4 separate regions of the Mus musculus genome follow, and regions 1, 2 and 3 are each reported to be linked to region 4. Evidence: microRNA targets listed by miRTarBase, many of them from high-throughput screens and not tested one by one. Region 4 holds a microRNA gene; each other region holds the end of a gene's coding sequence.

Region 1 (3,180 bases), not on the chromosome of region 4:
AAAATGCACATTGCCTTTTTCAAAGGAAAATAATTAATGCATATGTCGTTTCCTAAAGTCTTTTGATGGAGAAATCTCTTTAGAGCTGGGAAGGGATGCAGCCAGAGCATCTGAATACACGTTGGAGCGTCTGCCATGTAAGCCGCACAGCTTGTAAACTTACGTCTGAGTGGTCAACAGGACAGATATCAGAAAAGGAATATACTCCATCACTTACTGTTTATGAAAGAAATAATACTGATTAGGGCCTGGGATCCTGGCAGGGGGAGAAAGACCAAACTGGCTCTGTGTTACCTGACATAAAGACATCAGAGAGCTGGAACATCAGGAGTCAACTGTGAGGAGTGTGTGCCGCCACTCAGCTCACTACCAGAGAAAGAAGCTGACAATTCACAGGGCTCTGGATACACAGTACCACTGATTTTATTTGTACAAGAAATGACTGGTCACTGAACTTTTCTATATATTCCTAATCGTTACTGCTGTTACCTCAGAAACCAGTGAAATCTATCCCCAGCTTTAAAGTACAAAATAGTAAGGGAAAAAAATCTAAATAAAAATAATGCAACCTTTAATCTGCCAGGGTCTCTAAATTGTTACCACTGATTATTATAAAGTATACAATTTATTTATAGTTTTGTTTTTACTTTAAATAAACATTTGCTCTTTAGTTTTGGGGCAAGGGACATGCTTGGCAAAACACAAAAAGCAACAGAACCTACAACATTGAGTGAGCTTTTTTGGGGTGGGGGATGGGGGCAAGGTGTTGTTAAAAATCTCAATCGAGAAAGGAGGAAAAAAATGGAACTTTGTCAGAATAAAAATGGAAGAAACTTTGTAAACGGAAGCTGGTGAGTTAATCAGTAGGATTTTAGCAGTGCTGTAACTTTAGTGAGTAAGGGTTTGATATGCAGGAGGAGCTAATGACAAGCACGAGCTAAGGGGCAGTAGCCAAGTTTTAAAACAATGTAAGTGTTACTGCTGTTTCCCTAGTCACCGGTTTCTTAGTCTAAAGTTCATCTGACAAGGGCACACGTTCATGGCCCTCCTACGTGGGACTTTTATCTAGATCTGAAGGGTGGGGCCATTTATTTACCTTTTCCTGGTATTTATATTAATTTTACTGAATAATGGCTGTTTCTCTACCCTGACCCATGCTGGAGAGAAAATCAAGGGTCTCAAGAATGCTGGGCAGTCACTACTACCAACGATCTAGATTCCCAGTGACAAGCTGATGAGTACCAGATATGAAACCAACCATTTTCAAGACAGTCAAGCGCTGTATGTTTTTAGGCTTCTCTAGAGAATTTATGAAGAAAGGGGGTGAGATAGAGAATAAAGTAGGTATTTATATCCTGAATTTTCTAAGAAATATAATTTAAAAAGTACAACCAGGTTTAGAAGCCCCGAATTTAAAAGCAGGCCATGGTAGGGGTGTCGTAAAATTCAACATCACCTTTTAATACAGCTGGGTTTAAAAATAGCCACCAAGATCTTTTGTGTCGATGAATATAAAGGATTTGTTCTAGATGCTCAGAAATACAGTCCCCACAAAAGACTTTTAATTTGATCAAATTCTGGCTGAAGAAGGTGAGACCAGAAGGGGAAATGTCTAATAAAGTGTGAGGGGCCTGAAACAGGCCTGTCTTTCCACTGGTAAAGATTACAATTCTACATGCAGAAGCACGTGGCAAACCGTCATTTTTGTGACTGGTATTTGGGTGACTGTATCCTGCACCTGTTCCTAGAGAAACAACAGTCAGAGCCTTTTCTCTGGATTTCCACCACTGGGATGCAAGGGGGATGCCTGCCTGGTCATGACAGTGATGCTTGGGACTCTAGAGCAGCAACTTAAAATTTAGCAATAAAACTTTGGTTTAAAGTTAAAACAAATGAGGGGAAAAAAATCAACTAGTTGTTTCCTGAAAGAGGTGTGTGGGGTTGACCCTCCGCAGTGCCAGTGAGCCTTAGTTCCTCCTGCCTCCCTTCACAGGAGTAGCATTCATTTATGGTTAAGTTTCATAAATAATGAGAAACTGTATGTAACGAATACAGCATATTCCCCACCCACCCGAAGCCCTCCCCAGATGAGAAAAGTCACATCGAATTAAAAGTAGCTTTGTGGAGGAGGTGCTGCTCCAAGCTGCACTTTCCCTGCAAGTGCTGCCAGTGTCTCTGCACTGGCTATGAAGGAAGGGAAAAACTCTCCATAGAAACTGACAGAAAATTTAAAAACCGGTGTCCGGTTTCAGACAGTCAAAACCGGCCGGCGAAGCTGAGCTCTCTGGGCTGTGCATCAGACGTTCCTTCCAAAGCTTCTCTTCATCCTGATGGGCTTCTGTATCCTTGTGATTGTAAACAATCCGTAAGATAGTAGGTGTTTGTTCCTTAAAACATCTTCTGATTGGCAAAATGAAGTATTTGTTTTAAAAATAGAAAATGAAGATTAAACCAGAAGAAAAGAAAAGAAACACAGTGAGCTTGCTCGGAGTCCATAGGACCCGATCTGAAGAGCCCGGGAACGTGTTCTGTTTTCTCCTGTTCTCAGCTGGAAAAAGGTGCTGGAGGTTGCGTTGGTCGAGGAAAGGATTGTAGAGTAGAAAACCAAGGATGTTACTCTAGACTTCAGCGAATTCAAGTGTTAGCTTCGTCATCTGTGTCTTCTATCAATACCTTAGTGTCGCGAGCCTTGGATCTAGCGTGATCAGAGGAAATGAACATGTATGATCAGTCCCATGCAGTGCTGCTGGGTCCACTCTTCCCACTAGCAAGCACGCACACTACCCAGGAGCTATGTACTGCAAGTGGAGAGGTAGGAACAGCAGTAGGCTGAATTAAAGACGGAGCAGTACCCGGAAACAAGGATCTGAGTTTGAGCACTGGTACAGTGATAGCCAGGAGCCTCGGTCAAACTGTTAGCGCTGCTGATTTAGGAGGCTGTGCAGAGATTCTTGTACCGAATAAAAATGGGACTGGGTAACCCGACACTCGTTAGCCTCAACAGTGAAGGCAGTGTTTCTGACAGGAGATCTGTTACTCCCACTTGACAGATGGGGAGGCTGACATTCAGGAGGCTAAGGCTGTGCTAAGGCTGTATGAATCTATGACGTCAGAGCTGAGACTCAGGTCTCACCTTAGATTCCCTGCACTCTTTGTACCTTAAGCCTGTTCTTCTAACTG
Region 2 (3,180 bases), not on the chromosome of region 4:
AAAACCTCAACATTTCTTTCTTACAGAAAAGAAAAAAGCTGGACTATTTGAACAAATCACTAAAACTCATGGGACAATTATTGGCATTACATCAGGAATTGTCTTGGTCCTTCTCATTATTTCTATTTTAGTACAAGTGAAACAGCCCCGGAAAAAGGTTATGGCTTGCAAAACTGCATTTAATAAAACTGGGTTCCAGGAAGTATTTGATCCTCCTCATTATGAACTATTTTCACTAAGAGAGAAAGAGATTTCTGCAGATCTGGCAGATTTGTCAGAAGAACTTGACAACTACCAGAAGTTGCGGCGCTCCTCCACGGCCTCCCGGTGCATTCACGACCACCACTGTGGATCACAAGCATCCAGTGTGAAACAAAGCAGGACCAACCTCAGTTCCATGGAACTTCCCTTCCGAAATGATTTTGCACAACCACAGCCAATGAAAACATTTAATAGCACCTTCAAAAAAAGCAGCTACACTTTCAAACAAGCTCATGAGTGCCCTGAACAGGCTCTAGAGGACAGAGTGATGGAGGAGATTCCCTGTGAAATTTATGTCAGAGGGCGAGACGATTCTGCACAAGCATCCATATCCATCGACTTTTAATTGCTGACTAAAGGCATTATTGTTAAGTGTGTATGCAGCCTACACCAACACTCATTCTATCTCCGCATCCAATCTTGTTCTATCAAATTTAGAAAGCCCTTCATAACTTATCATAATGCTGATGATTTTATTATCTCAGGCAATCTATATATGTGAAACCAACTAAGAAACTTAAATGTATTCAGTGGAAAGAAGGCATCATCTGTTGCTGGTATCTTAACCTGTAAAACACCACCAGTGCAATAGCAGCTGAGGAGCAGGTCATGCATGTTAAGTCAGGCAGAGCAGCCCGGTGCTGTGAACACCAGGCACTGTGCGTGTCTGCACAGCCCCATCAACTTGATCTCACAGTAAATTTAAAAGTTTTTTCTTTATATTCCTTTTGTCCTTCTTTTTTCTGTTATGTTTTCTTTGCCTGTGGTTTTACCATTTCAGTTTCCTGCAGACGGGGATAATATGTCACTCAATTCAGCATGGCCATGCATTTGCTCCTAAATGAGTGTAATACGGCTAGTACTGTAATAAGTGGCAGTTTAAGATGCAGTCATATTTCATTTCTTCCTGACTGATTTCTACACTGTTGTCTTTAATAACTGCATCTTTAGTTCTGCTTTTCTATGGGAAGTAGGACTTATCACCTTTAATCATGTTTCATCTTAGTTATACTAAAAAAGTAAGAATCCTAGGGTATATTATTACCAGATACACATGAACAGAATTTTGAGAAAGATTAAAAACTTGTAGCAACCTCTGAAGTTTTCCCCACTGGGTCTCAATTCAGTGACAGTAATCAGGGTCCTAGAACTCACCTGTGAGCAGACCTTTAATTATGGCTCCATGCAGAGCTTCTCAGATCTTATTCCCTATCATCTTTCAAAACGATTTCTTTGTTCTCTTGGTATTGGTTTGTCTTGGACATGGCCATGGTTGGTGGAAGCTTAAAGAAATTCTCAGAGAAACTGTGTTAGCCTTTACATAGCTTCTGCTTGAAACAGTGCATTTTTCTACCCATTATCGAGAAGAGCAATTTCAACTTTTTTTTTAAGCTGCACTTTTAACCTTATGTTTTTTAAAGTATATAAAACAATAATTTATAAACACGGTATCAAAACTCATTGTGTTTTTTTAGACTTTTGATATTATTTGATATTGTATAAACTTTATTAGATCAAGATTTAAGACATACAAGACAATTTCTTTAAGTCTTCACAGTAGTGACTTTATATAGAAGAATACTGTGATGGGACTGTACTGTAATTTATTATAAAGACCTTGCTCATGGTGATATGTACATACATTTTTCTTTCTTTTGCTGCTGTGTTAGTTGGTAATAAGTTTTTCACTGTGTGGTATTTATTGTTCTAAATCACAACAGAAATCTTATATTAGAGTATACATTAATTCATGATCCTTCAATTATATTATTTATAGCAGGAATCCTTTGAATAAGATATAGATGAGGAAGAATTCATATATTTAATGATAACCAATAGAGATAATGCCATTTTAAAGAAGTAAATTCTCATTTTCTATATTGAACTAAATTTCCAATGAATGAAAAGTTGAGGTTTCACTAGATTTCATTTATTTTTTTAAGTACTACATAAATCTGATTTCTCAGATTACTAAAAACTTTGACCTTTAGTGTGATGTACTTTCTGACCAAAGTGTGTTTTCTGTATGACATTTTTTTTATTTTTAAAAAGGAAATTATATCAAGAATATTGGGAAAACTTACCCTTGGCATAAGCATGACTTAATTTTTTAAGTCAGTAGATGTTCCTGCTTTGTAAAATAGAACTTGGAAAAGTAAAAGGAATCTCAAAACATAGTAATCACTGAACTATCCAGAGAAAAATTAAATGTTCTTTCAGTAACTATAAGCATTTTATTATGTGACTTAGACCAGCCACCACTCCAACACCATAGTAAATACTTAAATTGATAGCTATGATACCATAGTGAAATAAAAATTAACAATTTTATAAATTATATCCACTATAAAAATAGTTGTCATATTCATCATTAATTTTAAGATTATAGTTTATAGTATGCCTTCATACATCATGATCACTTGTAGGTGTATTTTTATTTTTAACACTATTCTATTTTAAAGGAATTTGAAGGGATTTACAAAACAGTTGTTTGTACAAAATACTGAACATTCCAACCATGTAAATTTGCATGATCTCATGCATCAGCAAGAGAAACTCGGGTGATCATTTGGTTCTAAATTCTCTAACTAGAAAGTTGATCCTTTTCACAGTAGAAAACACTTATATTCAGAGGCTAAAGTGAAAGCCATAAACTTAAGCAGTAACAAATATGAAGTTAAGCTGTCTTATGTGAGTTATTATACCCTACAAAGTACCTGTGTTAAACACACCCTTCAGTGAAAAATGCAAAGCCAGAGGATAGTAAAAATCTCCAGTGCAAGAAAGTACTAAGTACAAACTATATGATACCAACACATTGCTGTCGTTCATCCCAAGTTCACTACAAGCTGTCAGCTCCCAAGTAGCCACAGACTGCAACCTACACATCCCACTGTCTCAAAGACATGGGAATAAACT
Region 3 (3,177 bases), not on the chromosome of region 4:
GTCATTTTGATTCACCATATAATGATCAGTTACTTTTCAGAGTTTACATAGATTTGTCTTGCAGTGTTCATTCATTTAAAAGTACAATGGTACATTATTATGATTAATTAGTACAATTAATTTTTATTACTTGATTTATGATGCAGTTGGAGAGAATTAGGTATTGGATAAAGGATTGCATATTTAAACTTTCCTCATTGAAAGAATTTCTGACTGTGGATAGAATTAAGTGAACAAAATATGTGATAGACACTTGGAATCACCAAATCCAACCATGGCAGGAAGCCCACAGATCTGGAGAAGGCCACCTATGTGTTTTTCTGGGAATTACCAATTTGAAAAAGTACACACTGTGAACAAGAACTAGAAGTCAGAAGTGTCACCCAGGGTGTGTGAGGGCCTAACTTTTCCCTGTATCCTTCTGGGGAAGCAGGTGGATGGTCAGCTGACCTCTTATTCCATTTACATTTCTACAGTAATCAGGGGATGTACAGCGTGCCTGATGTTCCTAAATCCAATCCTTCTGAGGGCTTTACTCAACAGCACCTTCTGCATTTCCCCAGAGATTCTAGAGGCAACCTGGCGGAAGGAGAGCTAAAGGTGTCCTTTTTGTTTTTCTTAATACATTTTATAAGAATATTAAGGAAGCTTGCAATAGAGAATCAAGGTTGTAGGTAATAAGATGTGAATATTGGATTTTGTTTTTAAAAGAGGGAGACAATCTTGCTATATACATAGAGAACATTTTTCTAAATGTTTTTGGTTAGCAATGCCCAGTTGAATGCATCCAACACATTTCCAGGAAGCTGGATCCTTCCTTCTAAGCAGACACTAGGGAGAACCTCAGGCTTGAGAAGGAAGAATTTTGCCCCTCAAGTAGCAATTCTTGCTAGCACATTTTCATAAAATTAAAAAAAAAATACATGCATGTACAAACAAGGGCAAGACTACATCTGCTACAGCAACCTGTGATTGTAATAGATACTATTTCAAAATTTAAGAATGTCAGCGCCTTTTTTTCATATGCTATGGGGAAGGAGAATTGTGTTTGGCAAACTGAGTAGAGTCTCATTGACAATGTTAGAGTTATTTCTAGATACTAAGTGACTGGAAGGATTAATGAGAGTGGATACATGGAATAATTAATTACCCTTTAATGAGAGTGGATAAATGGAATAATAATTAATTACCCTTTACTTGGCAAGGATCTTCTTTCTCCTCTCTCCCTTCTTTTCACTAGTCTTTATAGTCATAAGCTCAAATGCAGAAGTTAAATAAAACTGCAAATCAAATGTCTCCTGCCGTGTGACATGCTGGGGAGACTGAGTCCTTAGCTTGTCACTAATTAGTTGCACAGCTTCACCAATAAGAACTTGGATATTGTGGTGGCATCCCAGTGACAGATGAATGATCCTTGGAGCTACATTGTTAGTGGGTTATTTACAGAATTCCTTGCATCCTAGCAATTCAAGGGTTCTGATGTTGCACCCTCCTGGAAACCCAGAACAAAAATCTGAAGGTCTACTTTTTAATCTTCATACCACCCCTTTGAGGTAGGTAGATGACATATTGCCCCCATTTTGCAGATGAGGAAAACTGAGGCACCGAGAGGTGGAGTGATTTGACTGAGGTCACAGGGTGGTGAGTTTGTGTGACCCAGGTTGCAAATACTTACTTCTTCAGTGATTAAAAAGAAACCAGGACTCCCAAATCCCTAGCCTCTTGCTTTTCCCACTCCATAGCTTCCTCTCTGGACTTGACAAGTAAGTGCGTCTTAATGGACTCTATATCTTAAGTTCTTCTTGGAAGGCATAATTGGGGAGGCCTTTGCATCTCCCAAGAGGAAGGATTTTTTTTTTCAGTTCCCTTCCTCGTTTTGTCATCTTAGGCTCCAGGCTTTCGTTTGTTGTTTTTGCTTTGCTTTCTCCTTTTACTGTGTTGACTAGATTCTTTCATATAACAAACTACAAAATAGCACCATTGTACTAAAAAACAACAACAACAGAGTTTTACATACTGTTTGATATTTCCTGTATTATTGATATACTAACTTTACATAGTGCTCTATATGGAAAAAAATAAAAAAGAGAGAAACTGCTATACTTAGGTTACATACTAACTTATCATTTGAAGAAACCATTGAGAGTTTAAGAGACGTTCTATGCTTCAAACACACACCTAAAAATGATTGGCCTCAAAGTTGTAGTTATTGTTATTCTATTTTTTTTCTTGAAACACAATGTCAAAAAAAATAAAGCTTTGTGTCTAAAATAAATGCATTCAACTTATATTTGGTACAAATGCCACAGATGGAGTCAGGTACGTTAAAACTTGGTAGGCCACTTGACTACTTATTTGCTATTGCTCTTAAGGAGGCCAAATTCAACAAATACAAGTGTTAGGAAAGGGTGTGTCTAATGCAGCTAGACAAGATGATTAGACTCTGTAAAACAAGCAGCTTGAGCTACGTGGGAAGAGGTGAAGATAAGGGAACCATTCATAAACCACCTCTACACAGTTGCTAAATGAATGGCTTCAGCAGCCAAAATTCAGAGAGAAACTTAGAGCAACTGGATCTCTACAACATCCATGCATTTTCGGCTCTTTAGAGGCAGGGACTAGGAGATATAGTTATATATATATTTTTTTTCTCTATAGAATGTTATTGATAAAGGACCAACAGCAATCTACCCACGCCAGGACCACTTTTGCAAGGTGCAAAGCTTTTTAAACAAACACTCCTAAAGACGATGTTGGAATGTTTACTTGTATATTTCATTGGGGGAAATGCCCATCTTTGTAATGTTATTGGACTTATTATTGTTATTTGGTAGGTGTTTCGATGTTTTGCAGGTTGCTCAAGCAGCAAAGGATCCTGCGGTGATGTGGCATTTTCTGCTCCGTGGGAGGCTCCTCCTACATTCTGTAGGTCTTGTTTCCTGCACTTCCTCTACTTGTGTTCTTCAAATGTACTTCCTGCAAATAAGAAAGATAAGCGGCCATTAAGTTGTTGTGGTTTTCTATATCCATTTATGTCTTTAAGCGATTCATTTATCCCTTATGTTTTTTAGCCAGTGTGTGATAGATAATTAACTTGATACTCATATGCCATGACTGAACAGAGTAGTATTTCAATACCTTTGCAGGTATTGAATCATTATTTCTTTATTATGCTAG
Region 4 (3,180 bases):
AGCAAGTTCCAGGCTGGACTAAGCTACTTAGTTAGACCTCCCTCATCTGAATAAAAAATATACATGATATAAAGACTACTATTTTTAACATGAAAGAGATTCACTTTTCTTTTGGGATCACATGTTGCCCAGGCCAGCTTGCAAATGTGTGTAGAAAAGTATGACCTATGGAGGTGGGTATAGGAGAATCAGCTTGAGGGACAGAGCTACACAGTAAGACAGTAAGCTCCTGTCTTCAAATGGGAGTAGTGATGGTAGTTGACAAGAAGTCACTTAGTCTACTGGTCTTCGGGCTGAAGGGATGAGGAGAGGGAACAACACAATAGGCTCCATATCCACTCTTCCTGTGAGCGAGTGACTCCTCTCCACGTAGGCCCATGTGTTTAGGCATATCTAGGGCCATGGGAGGGGGAATAGTTTGAGAAATCTCATCTATCAGACCCTGCACTGAGTCATTCATACAGAATAGAAAACAAGGAACAATAGACCTAGGTCATTCTTTTGAACAGCAGTTGGTGAGTCTATAATAGTCAAGGATCTTAGTGTGTTTATTAGTCTCCTAAGAGAGTAGCACCTCTGTTCATTTTGTTTCCTGCTACATCCTCTATGACTAACAGAGCTGTATCAAATAGTGCATACCTGAATATTTGTGAAAGGAAGGAAAAGGAACAGGGGTGTGGACATATAGGGGCTCTGTCCTTTAAAGTGCAGGCGAAGTGCCACCCTTTGGATTCCTTGGACAGGACTTACTATTGAAAACAGCACTTGTGCTGAGGATTAATGTTCCTGATGAATCAGGTCAGATAATCCTCTCTGTGGGCACAAGTCTGTGAATCCTCTCCTCTGTATACACTGCATTTATATGGGACTGTGTTAAAATATGGAAGAATCCAAGTGGACAGTGTACATGAAGTCCCAGTCTACAGTCCACTCATGCAGGCATAATGGATGTGACACAGCTCACTCTCCCTGGACCATTTGCTCCCTGAACCACATGTGGTTCATACTCCTGTGGACCAAATCCCTAGTTGAGTACCTGCCATACTGAATAAATAGACAGGAAACAGTGGAAGGAGGCGTAAAGGTCCTACATGAAGATAACTCAATGTCTGAACCCTTGCCCAGGTATATTGCATTCGCAAAGCACACTCATCCAAGTAGCAAGTACTAGAAAGGCACAGCCTGCACCTATGCCCTTGGCATGTGGGTTCAACAAGAAGGCTTACTGTTCTTGCCCTGTGCATTCCTCCAAGAGTTGAACTAAAGAAGAATTTCTCTTCCAGGTGTCGGTATGAGAACTAGAATGAAAAGCTGCGCACTTATGTCAATACACAGTTTACTATGTGCCCCACTTGTTCTTGATACCTGTTAGGGTCATAAGTGGAAATAAAGTTCTACCTATAAAATCTAGGTGGGAAGAGGCCAAATTTGTCACATTTACTCTCCCATGCACCATGCCCGTTGTATTTGTAGAAGGAAAGAAGGTGGGGGGAGGCATAAAAGAAGTATGCAAGCAGCAAACAGATGAGATATGATGCACAGACCTCCTGTCCTTCTCCATGCAGATCAGGCTCACCTTCCCCAAATCCTTGCCCGGGTGCATTGCATACAAATAGCATTTTCACCCAGGGACAAAGGATTAGAGAGGATGAGCAGAGCAGAAGGCCCAGGCACCTGTACCATGTTTGTGTGGTTCTGTATATAATATTTAATTTTCCTTGTCCTGATTCAGCCAAGCATCACCACCTATACCCAAGCTTGACATCCCTGATTTATATATGTATCTGCCCCCTTCCCACCATGAGCATCCTCTCTCAGAGAAAACTTCTACGTATACAAAATGGTATCTCTCCCAGATCATACTTGAGAATTTGTGGGGGCCTGATTTATGTTTGGAAGGTAGCAAGAAGGCTGGGATCTGAGAATGCATATACATACTGAAAGAGGGCACAGTGGAGGAGGATACTCCATTCCTTTCCAATGCCTTTATACAATTCAAGCTTTGTGGAACAGGGGTTATCACTGGATGTAACAAACGGGTTGCCTGAGTAGCAGCACCTAATGTGTGCTCCTCATCACATGATCTGACACTTAGCAAACTGGGAATCAAGAAAGCTCATGCTGAGAATAGAAGCATGTCTACCAAACATGATAAAGACCATTTTGCTGTTAGAAAATGTGTAGAACCAAGTCTGACAGCTAAAACCAAAATCAAATGGTGGCCAGGAGGAGGGAAGGTGGCAGGTGAGATGTGCAAGTATGGGCCATTCTACACGCAGACAAGGCTCAGCCTCTTTGAATCCTTGAACAGGTGTGTTGCACTGAAGCAGCATTCACACCTAGGTTCCAAGGATTCGAGAGGGGGAGCAAGCAAGAAGGCTCAGGAACCTGCCCTTCCTGTGTGTGGTCAATATGCTTGTGTGCAACACACTAAAAGAGAACGAGAGATGCGCTCTGTCCTTTACAAACACAAAGGTCTGGCTCTCAGAATCCTTGCTGAAGAACACTCTCACCCAGGTAGCAAGGATCAGAGAACTGAAGCAGGGCAAAAGGCTCACAGCAAATGAACGCATGGGCTCACCTTTGACACAAGGTGCTTATCTGTGATGAGAAAGAAGACAATGTTCTTGAGCTTCACATTAAGTATGTCTAGGCACCTGAGTTCAACTCCCAGCCTCCACATAAAAGAGCCAAGCGTGAGGACTCAAAGAAAGCTAGATCCCTTGGCCTAACTGGTGAGTGCCAAGTCCCTATTAGAGACTGTTTCAAAAAACAGGGTAGATGTCCCCAAAGGGGAAGCACCTCAGGTTGACCTCTGCACCCTCCACACACATACACAGAAAGAGAGAGAGAGAGAGAGAGAGAGAGAGAGACAGAGTGACAGACAGACACAGAGACAAAGAGAGACAGAGACAGAGAGACAGACAGACAGACAGACAGACAGAGACAGAGAAACCTGTCTAAATATATACATTCATATTTTGTTCTGAGATTATAAAAATATAAAGCCAGAGATACAAAATACTGAAAGAAAAAAAGACAGAGAGACAGAGAGAAGAGGCCATAAGCTCACAAGATGGCAGTAGAGATTGGCATCCTTTAACACACATCAGCATCTTGTTAAAGTTACTTCAGATACCTGGAGGACTTGGTACTAAGATAACTTACAGAGGTTTCTCA

The links. Region 4 holds the annotated microRNA mmu-miR-362-5p (AAUCCUUGGAACCUAGGUGUGAAU, at 2,332-2,355, opposite strand). A microRNA usually pairs through its seed, bases 2 to 8, with sites in the 3' UTR of a target mRNA and lowers its output. Matches are read on the target gene's strand: a 7mer-m8 pairs with bases 2 to 8, a 7mer-A1 pairs with bases 2 to 7 and ends in A, and an 8mer does both.
Region 1: miRTarBase lists Xpr1 as a target of mmu-miR-362-5p. Seed matches in the 3' UTR shown: 8mer at 2,342-2,349.
Region 2: the mRNA of Neto2 is a reported target of mmu-miR-362-5p. The part of its 3' UTR that is shown has no 7-base or 8-base seed match.
Region 3: the mRNA of Igf1 is a reported target of mmu-miR-362-5p. Seed matches in the 3' UTR shown: 7mer-m8 at 1,411-1,417 and 7mer-A1 at 415-421.

The regions. Positions count from the first base shown.
Region 1 is chr1:155,278,376-155,281,555 of GRCm38, forward strand. It overlaps Xpr1 (xenotropic and polytropic retrovirus receptor 1), which reads right to left. Exons shown (of 15, transcript NM_011273.2): 15 at 1-2,695. The coding sequence ends at 2,635. Among named protein-coding and RNA genes, the nearest start is that of BC034090, 35 kb to the left of the region's middle.
Region 2 is chr8:85,637,963-85,641,142 of GRCm38, reverse strand. Neto2 (neuropilin (NRP) and tolloid (TLL)-like 2) reads left to right here. Exons shown (of 9, transcript NM_001357288.1): 9 at 27-3,180. The coding sequence ends at 607. Among named protein-coding and RNA genes, the nearest start is that of Mir8109, 61 kb to the left of the region's middle.
Region 3 is chr10:87,930,474-87,933,650 of GRCm38, reverse strand. Igf1 (insulin-like growth factor 1) reads right to left here. Exons shown (of 4, transcript NM_001111275.2): 4 at 1-2,976. The coding sequence ends at 2,917. Among named protein-coding and RNA genes, the nearest start is that of Igf1os, 69 kb to the right of the region's middle.
Region 4 is chrX:7,239,688-7,242,867 of GRCm38, forward strand. It overlaps Mir362 (microRNA 362), which reads right to left and starts at 2,359; the gene lies at 2,295-2,359. All of the region lies in intron 2 of Clcn5 (chloride channel, voltage-sensitive 5), which reads right to left. It overlaps Mir501 (microRNA 501), which reads right to left and starts at 1,664; the gene lies at 1,556-1,664.